Drosophila melanogaster: one gene and its partner. The protein of the gene in region 1 interacts with the protein of each later gene in a pairwise test. Each region holds a gene or a part of one and is shown on either strand. Other genes may lie near its edges.

Region 1 (7,764 bases):
TTGTACTTCTAATATTAATTAATATTAATTATCTACTTTGGCTTTGGGTTCAAATGGATGATGAGGATGTCCATAGGCCCTAGGAGAAAAATAGAAAGATTCGAGATATTTCAAGTTAAAACCTAGGAAATGAAAAGAGCAACACCTACGCCTTCATGGTCATAAAACGCCCATTGCAGTCCAATTCGTTAATGGCCTGTATGTCATCGACGGCCAACTCAAAGTCCCAGATTCGCTTAAAGTTGTCCAACATGTGCTGTTTGCTTACTGATCTTGGGATGACAATTATACCCGATTGTGTCTGAAAGCGTAGGAGCACCTGTGCCGCAGTCCTTTCGTATTTCTCAGCTATAGCCAAGATGGTCGGATGCTGGAGCAGTGGATAAGCGCCGGGCTTCTCGTAGGGCGTATGTCCCGATCCCAGGCAGCTGTAGGCGGTCACAGCAATGGCATTGTCATAGCACAGCGTAATCAATGGCTTCTGACTAAGGTACGGGTGGCACTCGATTTGAAGAACTACCGGTTTAAGCTTGGCCACACTGAGAAGTCTATTCATCTGCTGCTCATTGAAGTTAGACACACCGATGGCCTGGCACAGACCCTCGTCCACCAGATTCTCCATTGCACGCCACGTGTCCACATAGTCGATGTCCTCGAATGCGGCCTTATTGGTGTCCGGACACGTGGGATATAGGTTGTCACTGCCCGACTTGTAGGCCATGGGCCAGTGCATCAGGTAGAGGTTTAGGTACTTGACTCCCAAGTTCCTTATGCTTGTCTCACATGCCGGGCGCACCAAATCCGGCTTGTGGTGTGTGTTCCAAAGTTTGCTCGTGATGAAGAGTTCATCTCTGCAGTGCAATATGTATTTATGGCTTAGATAAACGATTGATTAGGCCTGAAAGCAGCACTTACCGTGTGACCACTCCCTCGTCCATTTTCTCCCGGAGAGCAGCTCCCACTTGCGCCTCATTGCCATAGATATGAGCGCAGTCAAAATGGCGATAGCCTATATCAATAGCATCCTTTACTGCTTGGGTCACCACTTCCGGCGGGCTCTAAAATGGCGAATAAAACGTAAAAAGCTGAGGTGCATCAAAAGCTTTTGCTTGACCCCGAAGAGCTTTGACATTGACCGTGAAATATGCAGTGGAAATGCACATTTCAGCTGGCTATTATTTAATAACAATATATATCTATGTAAAAGTACTTACCCGCCAAGTTCCGAGACCCAACATAGGCATATTTTTACCATTGCTCAAGAGAAAATTCGGTGTCGACATGTTTGAATCCTTTTGCTCCTTGTGAAATATGTTGTTGCACTGGCTTCGTTTTTGGAAAGCTTTAATTTGTAATTTACTAAGTGAACTATACTCAAAGGCCTATTAAACTGGCTAGAAACAGCATGTCTTGTGACAGCTCTGCTATCACAACTATATGTACGAAAATTGTTTAAATTTAGAATCTTTTGGGCAAGCAAAAGACCTTCGCGGAATATAATCGATTCGCTGCAGAGGGAAATTTTAAAATTTAAAACAAAAAACTCTTTTTCTGCGTTCAGAGTTTTATTTTATAAACCGAGTATAATGTAAATAAATACCTTTTTTTAATAAAATAAAATAAAATGTTAAAAAAAAAACTTTTGAAAAAATATTCTTTGTATTATCGCGTTATAAAAAACAAAGACAATCGATAGAAGTTTCCGATGAAAACATCGCATTCGCAGATAGTGCCTGACCTACCATCTCTAATTTTGCCGCCTGCGAAAAACACAAACAATGTTCGGCACCGTAAATAACTATTTATCCGGCGTTTTGCACGCCGCCCAGGATTTAGATGGCGAGTCCTTGGCCACGTATCTCTCCTTACGAGACGTGCACGTTCAGAACCACAATTTGTACATTGCCCAGCCGGAAAAGTTGGTGGATCGATTCCTGAAACCGCCACTGGACGAAGTTGTGTCCGCCCACCTGAAGGTGCTGTATCACCTGGCACAGGAGCCTCCTGGTTACATGGAAGCCTACACCCAACAGTCGGCAGCCTGCGGAGCCGTTGTGAGGCTTTTGCAGCAGCTGAAGGACGAGAATTGGTGCCTGCCACTAATGTACCGCGTGTGCCTGGATCTAAGGTACTTGGCGCAGGCCTGCGAGAAGCATTGTCAAGGATTCACACCTGGCCACGTATTGGAGAAGGCTGCCGACTGCATAATGGCCTGTTTCCGCGTTTGTGCCGCTGATGGACGAGCTTCAGAGGAGGACACCAAGCGTCTGGGCATGATGAACCTCGTAAACCAGCTATTCAAGATTTATTTTCGAATCAACAAGTTGCATCTGTGCAAGCCCCTTATCCGTGCCATCGATAATTGCATCTTCAAGGATTCTTTTCCGCTGCCGGAGCAAATTACCTACAAGTATTTTGTAGGTAGACGGGCTATGTTCGACTCCAACTACCAGGCAGCCGTACAGTATCTGTCGTATGCCTTTAGCAACTGCCCGGATCGGTTTGCCAGCAACAAGAGGCTCATCCTCATCTATTTGGTGCCAGTGAAGATGCTGCTGGGATATCTGCCCAGCAAATCCTTACTGCAGCGCTACGATCTCCTGCTGTTTCTCGATCTGGCTATGGCCATGAAGGCTGGCAATGTGAATCGCTTTGATGAGATTGTCAGGGACCAGGAGCTGGTGCTGATCAGGAGTGGTATCTATCTGCTGGTGGAGAAGCTCAAGTTCCTCGTGTATCGCAACCTGTTCAAGAAGGTGTTCGTCATCCGGAAATCGCATCAGTTGGACATGGGTGACTTCCTCTCCGCCTTGCATTTCGTTGGCTTAACCGATGTTTCTCTGGACGAGACGCACTGCATCGTGGCCAATCTCATTTACGATGGAAAGATTAAGGGGTACATCTCACATGCTCACAACAAACTGGTCGTGTCGAAGCAAAATCCATTCCCCTCAGTGTCCCTTTAGTGCATTTTGTAATTATTGTGAATTTTTAAGAGTAAAAGAATCCAATTTAATCAGTGTATTAGTTTACTGGATGGGGCATGTGAATGGAGGGCACCAACGATGAGTATAAGACCTGAAGACTTTGAATTTAAAGTACCTTCAATTCTATTTGGTTATAATTTTGTTTGGTTTTTCGAAACCTATATGTTTCAAATCAACTTATGAACTAATAATATAATTTTTGGTTATAAATATGTTTATTTTTCAACGGTTTTAAACTAATACCACTTTTTAAACTTAATCGAACTTTGGAATTGATATATATCGATTTTTGTGCTCGAACCGATGTATCGACAGCGGAATCGGTTTCGGTCACATCTCTAGGTCCACCGACTATCACTCATCTCTGAACTTTTTGGAACGCAGCTGCATGAATTGTCGTAGTTGAGCGAATTTAAACAAATTAACACAATACTTGTGGTATTACCTGGTAAATGATTAGAGCCTCATTCGCGCAAAGTGTACATAAGACAAGTGGCGAAGATTAGATCTAGTTAGCTAGTAACCATTTCTCAGCCGGCGACGTGTTGTCATTTTCGCAATCGTAAAATCAATATTACTAATTTTGCTTTGCGTTTACAACGTGACATAACTAAAACGCAAACTACAAAGTGTTTCTTTTTCACTGCATTGCAGAAATCCGCTGACACCGAAAAAAGCGACGAAAGCAGCGCCAAGTCGCCGAATCGCAGAGTACCTGGAATAGGAATAGTGCGTCCCCAGTAGAGGCTAAACTGAACAGCAGACATGGCTGCGCCGGTCATTGTCGAGGCCACGGTCAAGCAAACCGCCACGGTGAGTAGTCCGCCGTAGTCCAAATTCCGGAAGCCCTCGACTAATCACTTGTGTATTGCAGCTGATCTTCATGCACGGCCTGGGTGATACGGGGTAAGTGGGGTCATCCTCATTCAAAATAATGCTCCCAAAGACTTCATTCACAAAATATTGAAGTATGCGAAACAGAAATATTTGCACATATGAAATTAAAAGGATTTTAACGCTTCAGTTCCTATGGGAAAAAAAAACAATTTATAAGCGCTTAGGGTGTTCTAGATTCAAGTAACTGATGAGAAGCCTTCAGAGTATTCCCCAGTTAAGCTCATTATGTATATCCCATACCATTTTAAATTCGTTCTTCCTTTTAAATTATTAGAAAACTGCAAACAAAACTTACCTAAGTAAATAGAAGTTTTTTTGAGTGAAAGAGTTATGCAAAATCCTTCTTATCTCGTTAATGAATGCCTTTTCCAACAGTCATGGCTGGAGCAGTGCCCTAGCCGCCATCCGCCCACCTTTCATGAAAGTCATCTGCCCCACGGCGCCCACACAGCCCGTTTCGCTGAACGCCGGCTTCCGCATGCCGTCGTGGTTTGACCTGAAGACGCTGGACATCGGTGGGCCCGAGGACGAGCCGGGCATCCAGTCGGCGCGTGATAGTGTGCACGGTATGATCCAGAAGGAGATTAGCGCTGGGATTCCGGCCAATCGCATTGTCCTGGGCGGATTCTCGCAGGGCGGAGCCTTGGCACTGTACTCGGCACTCACGTACGATCAGCCGCTGGCCGGCGTGGTGGCCCTATCCTGTTGGCTGCCGCTGCACAAGCAGTTCCCAGGCGCCAAGGTGAACAGCGATGATGTGCCGATTTTCCAGGCGCATGGCGACTACGATCCCGTGGTGCCGTACAAATTCGGCCAGCTGAGCGCCAGCCTGCTCAAGTCGTTCATGAAGAATGTGACGTTCAAGACGTACAGTGGACTATCGCACTCGTCGTCCGACGACGAAATGGATGACGTCAAGGTGAGTGGGTCGCACGGAGCGTCATTTGGAATTCCCATGGCTGACGAAACGTTCACTCTGCTCTTCTCGATTACAGGACATCATCAGTAAATGGGTAAACTAACTTCCACTGAACCATAGCACTCTTAGAACGTACGAAAGCCCCCGACCCAGCCCGTTGCATTCCAACTATTCACGCAATATGGAGCGCAGTAAGAGAGTCACACTGAGAGTTATACGAGTAGGCTCTCTCGTAGCCCAATTATGGAAATTATCACTGAAAAATCAATTCGAAAAGCAATCAATTATTATACACACACGGTAGCTATACCTAATTAAATGCCAAAATACAAGCAATTTGCGAGGGAAATTCTCCAGCGCGAGACGTTTCAGAGTATAGAAGCAACTGACTTTGATATTTCTTCGCTGCTAATTATTTCGGTTTACTTATTTGGGACTTGTTCGTATTTAAATTGAAATTAATAAAGTTATATAATCAAAGAACAACTATAAAACCTATAGCCACAATCTGAATTGGATTACAACTCTTTCAACCAAAACCCGATTGCCAGCGATTCTGCGTTGCTATTTAGCTGGCAAACGGGCGTCATTTCAGATACTTTAAGTGACTAAATAAATCGCACTTAACATTTGTTTGTTCGTTGTAGCTAACATTAAAACCGCCAATTCTCTCGATTCCATTTTGATTTGATTTCTCGTTTCTTATTTCATTTTATTTCGCACAGCAACAGGCAAACAATCATCTGTAGAGCCGCGGCCCCACTGGCTACCAATTGAAATTCGCATTCTTCACTTGTTAAACCAATGGCAATATACGAACCGGTTGTTCAGATTAAACGACTCCCTCGGGCCCTCAAATGCACACCCTCTCAGATTCTTTATAAGCACACATATTCCACCTGCTAATCCAGTAGTCCTGCCGCACCACTCACCATCTCTCATCTCGATCTATATATTTGCAGACACAGTGGGATAGCCAGAACATGGCTAGAAAGGCGCAATGCTGCCAGTTATCGTAGTAGCAACCAGTGCTAGTTGTAGTGAAGGTTCCTTCCTCAAATCAAGCAAATCAAAGCTCCTCAGCCTAGTCAGGACGTCTCGGGCCGCACGAGAATTGTATTTTAGTAATTATTTTGTACATACACACGATGAAGTTGGTTAAGAAGTTGAAGTTGGTTCACCTGGTGAAGTGACAGGCAATCCATTTGCCGTAGCGAATGGCCAATAAAGTTATTTGAAGCTCTCAACTGCAAGGCGAACTTAATCCAGAAAAAAGGGGTCTTCGTGTCTGTTTTTTCCAGTTCTACTTTAAAATTTGCGAACGTAACTGACCTTTTTTAAAATTTTGATGGTAGTGTTGCATAACGTTGTATTATGTTCTCTTCGGTATTTTTTGTATGCCTTGGTATAATTTATTCCATTTACCCTTTTTATCGATAAATTTGGCGCGCTTTTGTGTTCAATTTAAATTCGCTATGGTTGTGATATGTTTGTAAAAGCCGTAAATTGCGTTATTTTTTGGCCTTCTAAAGTCTTGGATAAAGTAAAGTAAGAATTCATTAAAGACATCTTCATAAACGTTTTATAAAATTATATTTGGTTTGAAGAACTTATTCATTTATTGCTCCTGCGATATCTTTCTCACTGAAGTCTACGAACTAAATTGTTTTAGTTCCCTTTGTTTAAATTATTAAAAAAAAACAAAATAAATGTATTGCCTTTGTAACAATAAACAACAATTATACATTTTAGGTACTACTTATTCTCAATTCAGTTGTATGTAAGTTTAATCTTATTCATATTGATTTGTTCTTTTCTATATGGCATATGCTAATTTACTGATTCACAGACATAAGACTCAAATCCCGCTCTGTACTGCGACCATCCACTGACATTTGGGGAACCCGTTGGACTGCGACTCCAAGTGCCGACTAAGCGTCAGTTCAGTTGTTTTCACGCCGCCGTTGAGAGTGGACGCGGTTTTGCCAGCTCTTCAAAAATTTAAGTTCGCGTCGCTTTTTCCTCGGCCAATTTCAGCACATTTTTCGCGGGGAAATTTGAAACGCATTACATAAGCCAAGCCAATGTAAGAAGTGATCATAAGAAAAATCAAAACTATCTAAATCTGATGTGCATATGCCAATTAAATCAATTTTTGCGAGCAAGTCAATTTCACTGCGCTCTAGTTTGTTTTCGTCTTTGTTTTGATCGGCTCTATCCACAAAGGGGGAGCCTTTTGTATTGTGTTTGCCCAGTCGGATGTGCAACAATGGCATAAGAACTACAATAATCTATATGTTCACCCAAATAATCAACATTGCATTCTGTGGACTAGCAATTCATTTTGTGACATTTCACTAAATAGATTTCCCGACGATCGTAACTTATCTGAAAACAATGAAATTTTAAAGCTTTTTATGATTTCAGTTTGTATTGCACTTTGGAGTGCATTTAAAGATAGATTAATTAATTTTGAGCTTATCTGTTTCAAAAAAACAGTATATATATGGTGAAATAATACGAATAACATTTTTAATACATTCTTGTTGACTGACGCACATTTACAAATTTACAAGTTTTAAATCAAGACCCCGTCAAAGTTTCAGTTTTAAGTGCTCCTCATTATAATATGACTATTGTTAAATTATATTCTACATTTACCTTCGTCTACAAATGCAATTCTTAACTTGATTTATATTAAATATATATTTAAACCAAATTCGCTCTTTAAGATAAGCAAGGAATTTCATTTCATAACTAGACTAAATTTAAATACATAAATTGTTTCACAATTTACCTCCGCTTTAGTAAACTCAATATTGTTTCCCAAAAATTCCTTTTTTTAGATTCGTGCATATCTTTCTATTTTTGTTGTCACTGACCTATGACTTCAATGAGTAATTAAAAGTAAACATGTGATTAATCACTCTGCTCAAAGTACACGCGTTTCTTTGTTAATTA
Region 2 (6,746 bases), on another chromosome or scaffold:
CACAATCGCATTGGACATAATTAACGAATTGGCCACAATGTTTTTGGGACTGATGATGCAGTTGGGTCCGAAAACGCTGAAGTTCAGTGAAGTCTTTTCGGACAACTTGGCATTGTCAGCCGCTATGATCTCCTTCGTTTGGGTTGATTTTACCACGGCTCCAGGAGAGATCAGTGGATGCTTTTCGCCACACAGATTGTTCCAGATGCTGGCTAACTTGCGATTGATGGCCAAGAAGCTCAAAGTGTTGTTTACCCGCACACCTATGGCATCTCTGGGCGCCTGAATGCCATAGCAACGCACAATATCGCCATGATAGGGGGATTGGGATAGAGATTGGTTAAACAGTGAAGTCTGCGTGATCTTCTGGTCCAGAATGGTGTGGCCTACATACTGAAAGTTAAAGACATAATAGGATTTTATATGATATTCAATACGGGTATACGGGTACTAAAGGTAACCTGTTAATACCAAGTAGTAACTCACATGCAAAACATGATCCTCATTCTTGGTGACCACGCCCACTTCGGATGTGGTGTCCTGCACCGTTTTAGGAGGTCGTTTTGAGTGCTGCTTCTTTATCAAATGCGGCAGAAATTCGCCCTTAAAGGTTGATATATTTTCCTTCTGCAAAGATTGAATATTAGAAAACAATTTACTATAAGGTCATATCAAAACTAACCCTTCGTAGATAATCGATAACCCATTTTTTCAGCACATAAACATGAGCATCCACCAGTCGGCTGTATACATCCAACCTTCCGCGGTTCTTGAGCAGATGTCGCTGGATGTTGAGTGTTTCCTCGCAGTCACTGGCGGCGGATACGAAAGCCAATCTCTGAGTGGCCGCATGGATGCCAATCAAATCCCTTTCCGGTTTGTGCTTGCTTTTGGGACCGGGCATAACAACGTCCGACTCAAATCCGCTGGGAAATAGGAGCATTGCAAGGGCGGCATCATGTTCCCGAAACTTGTTGATCAGCGGATATAGGCTGACATTGCTGACCAGGTCGCAGCTGACCACCAGAAAGTCCGACTTGATCTTATCGTATATGTAGCGCAGACTGTCGGCAGTTCCGAAATCCCCGTCACTAGGAATCGTGGCATAGTCCAGTCTCAGCTTTAAGGGAGTGTTTTCCAGAGCAGATTGGATCTCTAGTTTTTCTTGCTCCAGTACCACAACAATGACCTCTGAAATATTTTTCAATTAAATCCAGGTTTTTAATTCAGACTATCCGAATTACCTGTAAAGTTGTGTTGTTGCAGCAGATTTAAGGGATACCAAATCAGAGGATATGGACCCACCGGCAGCAGGCATTTGGGGGCATCCCCCAAGACCTCGGGTAGACGAGTGCCACGCCCAGCGGCAAAAACTACGGCCTGGAACTCGGTCATTGTTTCACAAAAATATAAATAATTTCGGCTAAAAAGCGTGCAAGCACAAAAAGAGCCACGCAAACAGCTGATCCAATGCAAGCGAAACACCTACGAGCGCTGTCCAACACTGCTTCCAATCAGACATATGTTTGCTGTCATGTGACTGTGCAATTGTTTTTGTTGCTTTTGCTATTGTATAAAACAAGTCAGATGACCCTTTTTGCAATGAAAATTCCCTTTTTCCACTTAATTATTACACAGAATGCACATCGTATGATACAACAAGACTTTAATGCATGATTTGCGCAGCTTACACTACACTACAAAAATGGAATACATACTTTTCTGCTTATTGGAATAGTCTACACACTTTTGCTACATAGGTACAATTAAGTTTGTGGCTTGCCCTTTGCGAATTACAATATGGAAACGGATACAGAACAGAAAATAGTTTAACAATAATATTGCTGGAATAAACACATCCAAGGTAATACTTAGAACAGCACGTCGTCATCGCCCTCATCCAGGATATTGGCCTGCTGGCGCACATCGATGCCCTGCTGCAGCAACTCCGCCTTCTTGGCGTCGGCCTTGATGCGTGCCTCGCGCTTCTTGTCCTGGATCTTCTTCAGTCGGTAGAACTCCTCACGCTCGAGCTCGTCCAGCTCCGAGATGATGTAGGCCAAAGTCCTATCGATTCGGGGGATGATCACATGCTCAATGGCGTTCACACGACGGTTGGTGATCTTGATCACCTCGTCCAGGGTGACGAATGAGGTCTGCAGCGAGGCCAGCTCCACGAGCAGTTTAACGGCGCTTTGGTAGTTCTTCTTCAGCTTGGCCAGCTGCTGACCACCACGGGCTAGACCGGCCAGTTCGTAGGTGTCGGATCCGTCCTGGTAGGACTCGAAAACGGGCAGAGTGACACCAGCCACGTTGTCCTTCTTGGTGCGGATCTTGATCTGGGCCTTGGTCACGTTTTGCAGCACCACTTGGTTGATGTCGCCAGACGTGAATTTGGCCTCCGCCAGCGAGAAGGCTGCCTCTTTCATAACATCACCCATCAGGGTCTTGGTCTCGATGATCTTGCCCAGAATCAAACGGAATCGCATCTGCAGGGCATCCGCCTTCTTCTTGAGCAGACCGTGACCTTTCTGGGCTCCAGCCAGACGGGCCTTCATCAACATCTGGGCACCACGGGACGGGAAAATCGGTAGCCTATCTTTTCCGGACATTTTGCTGTTTTTTTCGGATGGTAATTGGCTGGACTAAACAATTTTCAACTGCGTATCAAGAAAACTGCAACCGTCGCAGAACACTGAAAAACTCCAACTGGAAAATGACGGATGACAGTGTTGGCTACTGCCCGTAGCCAATCGATAACCAGTTGGTGCTGGGTAGTGCGCTTAGATACAGTACTGCAAAATACGCAGCCACAGCTGATTTTGCATTTAAAAGTAAACAAATCTAATAAATTCCATTTCTTTATTGGATTTATAATGCTTCTGCAACGCGTGTGGTTGACACATTTAAACAACCATCTACGCCAATACGCGAACAAGTCGCGAGCCCACATCAAACCAGCCATGGCCGTGAGCATGCGGATGGTCCATCAGGAGATCCTGCATTATGTAAACCCCTTTGCCAGGATCAACGTGAAGTCCGATGTTTTCCTGCGCATCCAGCCCGCGGATGTGCATCAGTATACCAGCGGGGATGTGTTTATCGCCCAACTGGTTGGCGGCCATGTCAAGAACTCGAATGTCTCTCTCGATGTGAAGGTAACCGATGAGGACAAGGTGGTCAATGTGGTGGTTAAACAACTGGCGGAGCAGCCCTCAAAGCTTGAATGCCATCTGCAAATACCTGTGCGTTCCGATGTCTCTGTGGACGCAAAAGGTAGTGTGCGAGTGGAAGGCATACAGAGTGAACTGCTGCAAGTCAAAGCAAAGGAAGGCATCCTTACCAAAAATATCAAGGCCACCCATATAAACTTGTACAGTGAAAATGGCAACATCAATTGCCAGGGCACATTGCTGGGCAAGATTACCCAAATAGAGTCACAAAATGGGGTGAGAAAAAATTTACTATCAATCTGATCTTATTATTAACCTTTATATTTCTTTTTTAGAACATTGCGATGGATAAGTTGCAAGGAGACAGCTTGAATTGTTCCACCAAAGCTGGCAGTATTGTAACCGATTGTTGTTATGTGGAAAAGTCAAAGTTTCAGACACAAACTGGGCGTCTGGAGCTCAAGAATGTCCACAAAAGCAGCGAAGTGCACGTCCATCAGTCGTCGGATCTCAATATGAGTATGCGAAACAACGAAGAATAACACCATCATGCTAAAAACTTTCAATTTCAGCTGGAGTACATGGCAATATTCAAATAACTACCAAAGGAGGAAATTTAAATGTCCAACTCTCTGAGCTAGTGGGGAGCAACAAAATCGACGCCGAGAACTTATTAGAAGAGGCTATCATACACATTTCCCAAGCCATAGAGCAGAATCTTCACATCGAGGTAACAGCCCCCGAAGTGAAATTGGAAAACGAACTGGAGCATGTAGCCCATGCTCTCAACGAGAGCAAGAACAAATTCGTGCTAAGCAATCCAAATACAAATCGACTGGAAGTAAGCAGCACAGGCGACAAGGGCGTGCGCCTGGGAAAACAGTCATGGAGCGATATGATGCGTAATAAGTTGAAGGCTACCGGCACCTTGGACGATTTACCTTAGGTAAAGACAGAGACTAACTAAGTTAAGAATATATTGTGCTGCAAGCTACAATCTCAGTCATTTTTGCTTTATCCATCATGGAGGCATGTTGTTTAGGCTTGGCCCGACTCCTTAGCCACTTTATCCTTTAAGCATTCAAGTGCCCTTGAGAAAATGGCTTCTTCCTTTCCGGCTTTGAGTGCAGACACAAACAGTTGCACCTTTTCATCGCCAATCTCTTGGAGATCCGAGTTTTCCGCTTTTATCACCATACATGCCAACAGGCGCAGCAACTTCAAGGCGTTCTCCACATACTGCTCCTTTGGAGCGTCATCCTCCTCCTCTTCGTCCTCTTCGAACTCATTGGCGTCGGGATCACTTCCCCCCGTGTAGTTGTCAATGTGCTGTTTAAGTCTATACCACAATTCCAAAAGATTTAAGAAGGCCTCCTTGTGATAGAAGTACTTCAGGCGCTGCAAAAATAAATATTTAAATAGAACGTCGAATATTAAGTATCTTTTCCAAACTTACACTCCAAATGTGCGCCAGATCCTCGAGATACTCCTCCTGGCGTTCGCCTAATGGAATGAGTTGCAGAGGCTGCTGCAAAAACTGCAGTATTCGCGCTAGACAACTGACTATACTGGGTGCATACACATCCATGGAGGCCTGCGCCTCTGGCAGTTGGACCAGAATGGTGCATATATTGAGGTAGGTTTGTATGATCTCCACATCACAGGTTATTTTTGGTCCGCACGAGTCGTAACCGACGTCGGCATCTTCATCACTGTCGTGGGCCGCTGGCACTTCTGCATCTTCGTTGTCCTCGCCAGCTTCCTCGTCGGTCAATTTTGTCTGATCATCGCGCATGAGTCGCAAAAACGCGCTATTGACCCCCTCGCAGAGTTCTGGCACTAGAAAGACCTCCGCAAAAGGCTTTAGATTCAACGTGGAGTTTGCGTTTTCCTCCTCCACCAAGGCGCAACTGGCCAGCACAGCATTTGTGGCCTTCAGTGCAGCTACTAGCAGTTCATCGCTAACGGACAGTTGCAATATCCTGCCCAGGTTCTGCGCGGAGTTCTCAAAGGCAGCAAAGCAGATGTACCAGTTCACAGCGAACTTCTCCTTGCCGCTAAGCACATGGGCCATGATGTACTGAAAGAGTCGCATCAGCTGTATCAACATGGCGGTGTCCATGCAGTATGTCATCTTGAACAGGGTTTCCAACGTGTAGCGGTCACAGGCCAATATCTCTGCGCACTCCACCTGGGCGCACATATTGCCCAGCAGTCCGATAAGAATCTCGTAGAGCCGCACATCTTCACAGCCCGCCACCAGGGTGTACATGATCGGATCAATGGCTCCGTTCTCCAGCAGCAGTGTGACCACTTCGGGGGACACCGACATGTCCCACACTTTGCACAGGTCATCCTCCAGCTGCTGATCCAGTGTTGAATGCCGCAGTAATTCTCCCACCCTCATCACCGTTTTCAGGATGAATCGACTGCTGTACATGGTGTTGCCGACTGCATCGCCGCGCATACGCTCCAGCAGCTCCGCCTCCTCGGCGTCTTCCTGGGCGGGTGGGGGCGTGGTCGAGGCGCTACTGGCGCTGGCAGAGGCGGAGGCGTATGCGTCGCTTTCCTTGTGATTCGAGTTTTCCGCGGATGGCACATCGTTTTGCTTGGCGGCCACCGCAAGACCACTCGCCGATGGCTCCGCTTCTTCCTTGGGCATTTCGATCTGGATCCGGGTCTGGGCAAACTGTTTAACGGGTTCGTTTGGCAGAATGCAGAATGGCAGTGGTACTAATCAATATATTTTGGACAAGATCTTTTTTTTTAGACGCTGTCAGTGGGTCCGTTGGTTCTTTCATAAAAAATACCTTAAGCTTTGGAAAAGTCAGTTCGGAAAAGCTCGGTATCTAAATCACTTTTACATAAGCAGGTCACACTTTCTCGCACTTCGGTGGGTTGATCGTTTAAATATATTGCTCAAATGTGTGATACTTCTGAACTGGGAAAGTTAGTCAGCTGGTTAACAATATCAGTTTACAACTTAAAACAACCAAAACTACCTTTAACTTCTTTGAAAGCAACCAAAAGTGTGGATTTCATTAGTTAGTGAAGGTGCAAACCTAATCATCACCACACGTTGTGGAATCCAATGGAATCCACAAGGAAATTTAAAACATTGGCGCCTACACTTATTAAATATCGTATTATTAGTATGTTTGTTACTAAATTCAAAAATTCCAACAGCAACGTTGCTATAATATTATTCTTTTAATATTATATCTAAATTCGAAAATTCCAATAAAAGATAACATTATTTTATAACCATAACTTTCTATTAATAAATGACTTAGATGTAATGCTAACAATGAAAGGTAATCACAGTTTATGAGGTTTTTGGTTTTCCCTTGAGCAGCAAACTAGACAGATTGCTGTAGGGCAGCTCAAAAGCCAGCGAAAAGGCGATGGAGGCCAGATAAACGATCATCGTAAACCCGCAGCAGATGACGCTCTAAAGAAACAACTCAATATTATTAAAAAGCAAAATCAAATGAGAATGCAACTTACCAGCAGAAAGGGATCAACTGCAGAGCTCGTACTGGTCAGACTGTAAACGAGGGCAATCACCAGGGG

Evidence for each region. Proteins that work in one complex are often made in the same cells at the same time.
Region 2: the proteins of Apt1 (region 1) and CG8187 interact in a two-hybrid assay, tested with the Drosophila melanogaster proteins (one large-scale study listed by BioGRID).

What each region holds. Positions count from the first base shown.
Region 1 is NT_037436.4:11,624,702-11,632,465, forward strand, and holds Apt1 (Acyl-protein thioesterase 1), read left to right. Parts: upstream 1-3,335; 5' UTR 3,336-3,435; intron 3,436-3,515; exon of another isoform or gene 3,516-3,549; intron 3,550-3,641; 5' UTR 3,642-3,752; coding exon 3,753-3,800; intron 3,801-3,861; coding exon 3,862-3,893; intron 3,894-4,259; coding exon 4,260-4,803; exon of another isoform or gene 4,804-4,879; coding exon 4,880-4,897; coding exon of another isoform or gene 4,898-4,906; exon of another isoform or gene 4,907-5,291; intron 5,292-5,528; coding exon of another isoform or gene 5,529-5,552; exon of another isoform or gene 5,553-5,765; coding exon 5,766-5,822; 3' UTR 5,823-6,048; downstream 6,049-7,764. Other genes in the region: CG6083 (uncharacterized protein), read right to left, coding at 25-79, 150-851, 916-1,058, 1,215-1,283; PCID2 (PCI domain-containing protein 2), read left to right, coding at 1,779-2,966.
Region 2 is NT_033778.4:15,537,403-15,544,148, reverse strand, and holds CG8187 (uncharacterized protein), read left to right. Parts: upstream 1-2,785; 5' UTR 2,786-2,876; coding exon 2,877-3,449; intron 3,450-3,508; coding exon 3,509-3,692; intron 3,693-3,745; coding exon 3,746-4,119; 3' UTR 4,120-4,211; coding exon of another isoform or gene 4,212-4,571; 3' UTR 4,572-4,595; downstream 4,596-6,746. Other genes in the region: eIF2Bgamma (eukaryotic translation initiation factor 2B subunit gamma), read right to left, coding at 1-393, 487-627, 683-1,191, 1,245-1,395; Vha36-1 (vacuolar H[+] ATPase 36kD subunit 1), read right to left, coding at 1,872-2,612; CG30467 (uncharacterized protein), read right to left, coding at 4,212-4,571, 4,630-5,835; CG30471 (uncharacterized protein), read right to left, coding at 6,499-6,624, 6,681-6,746.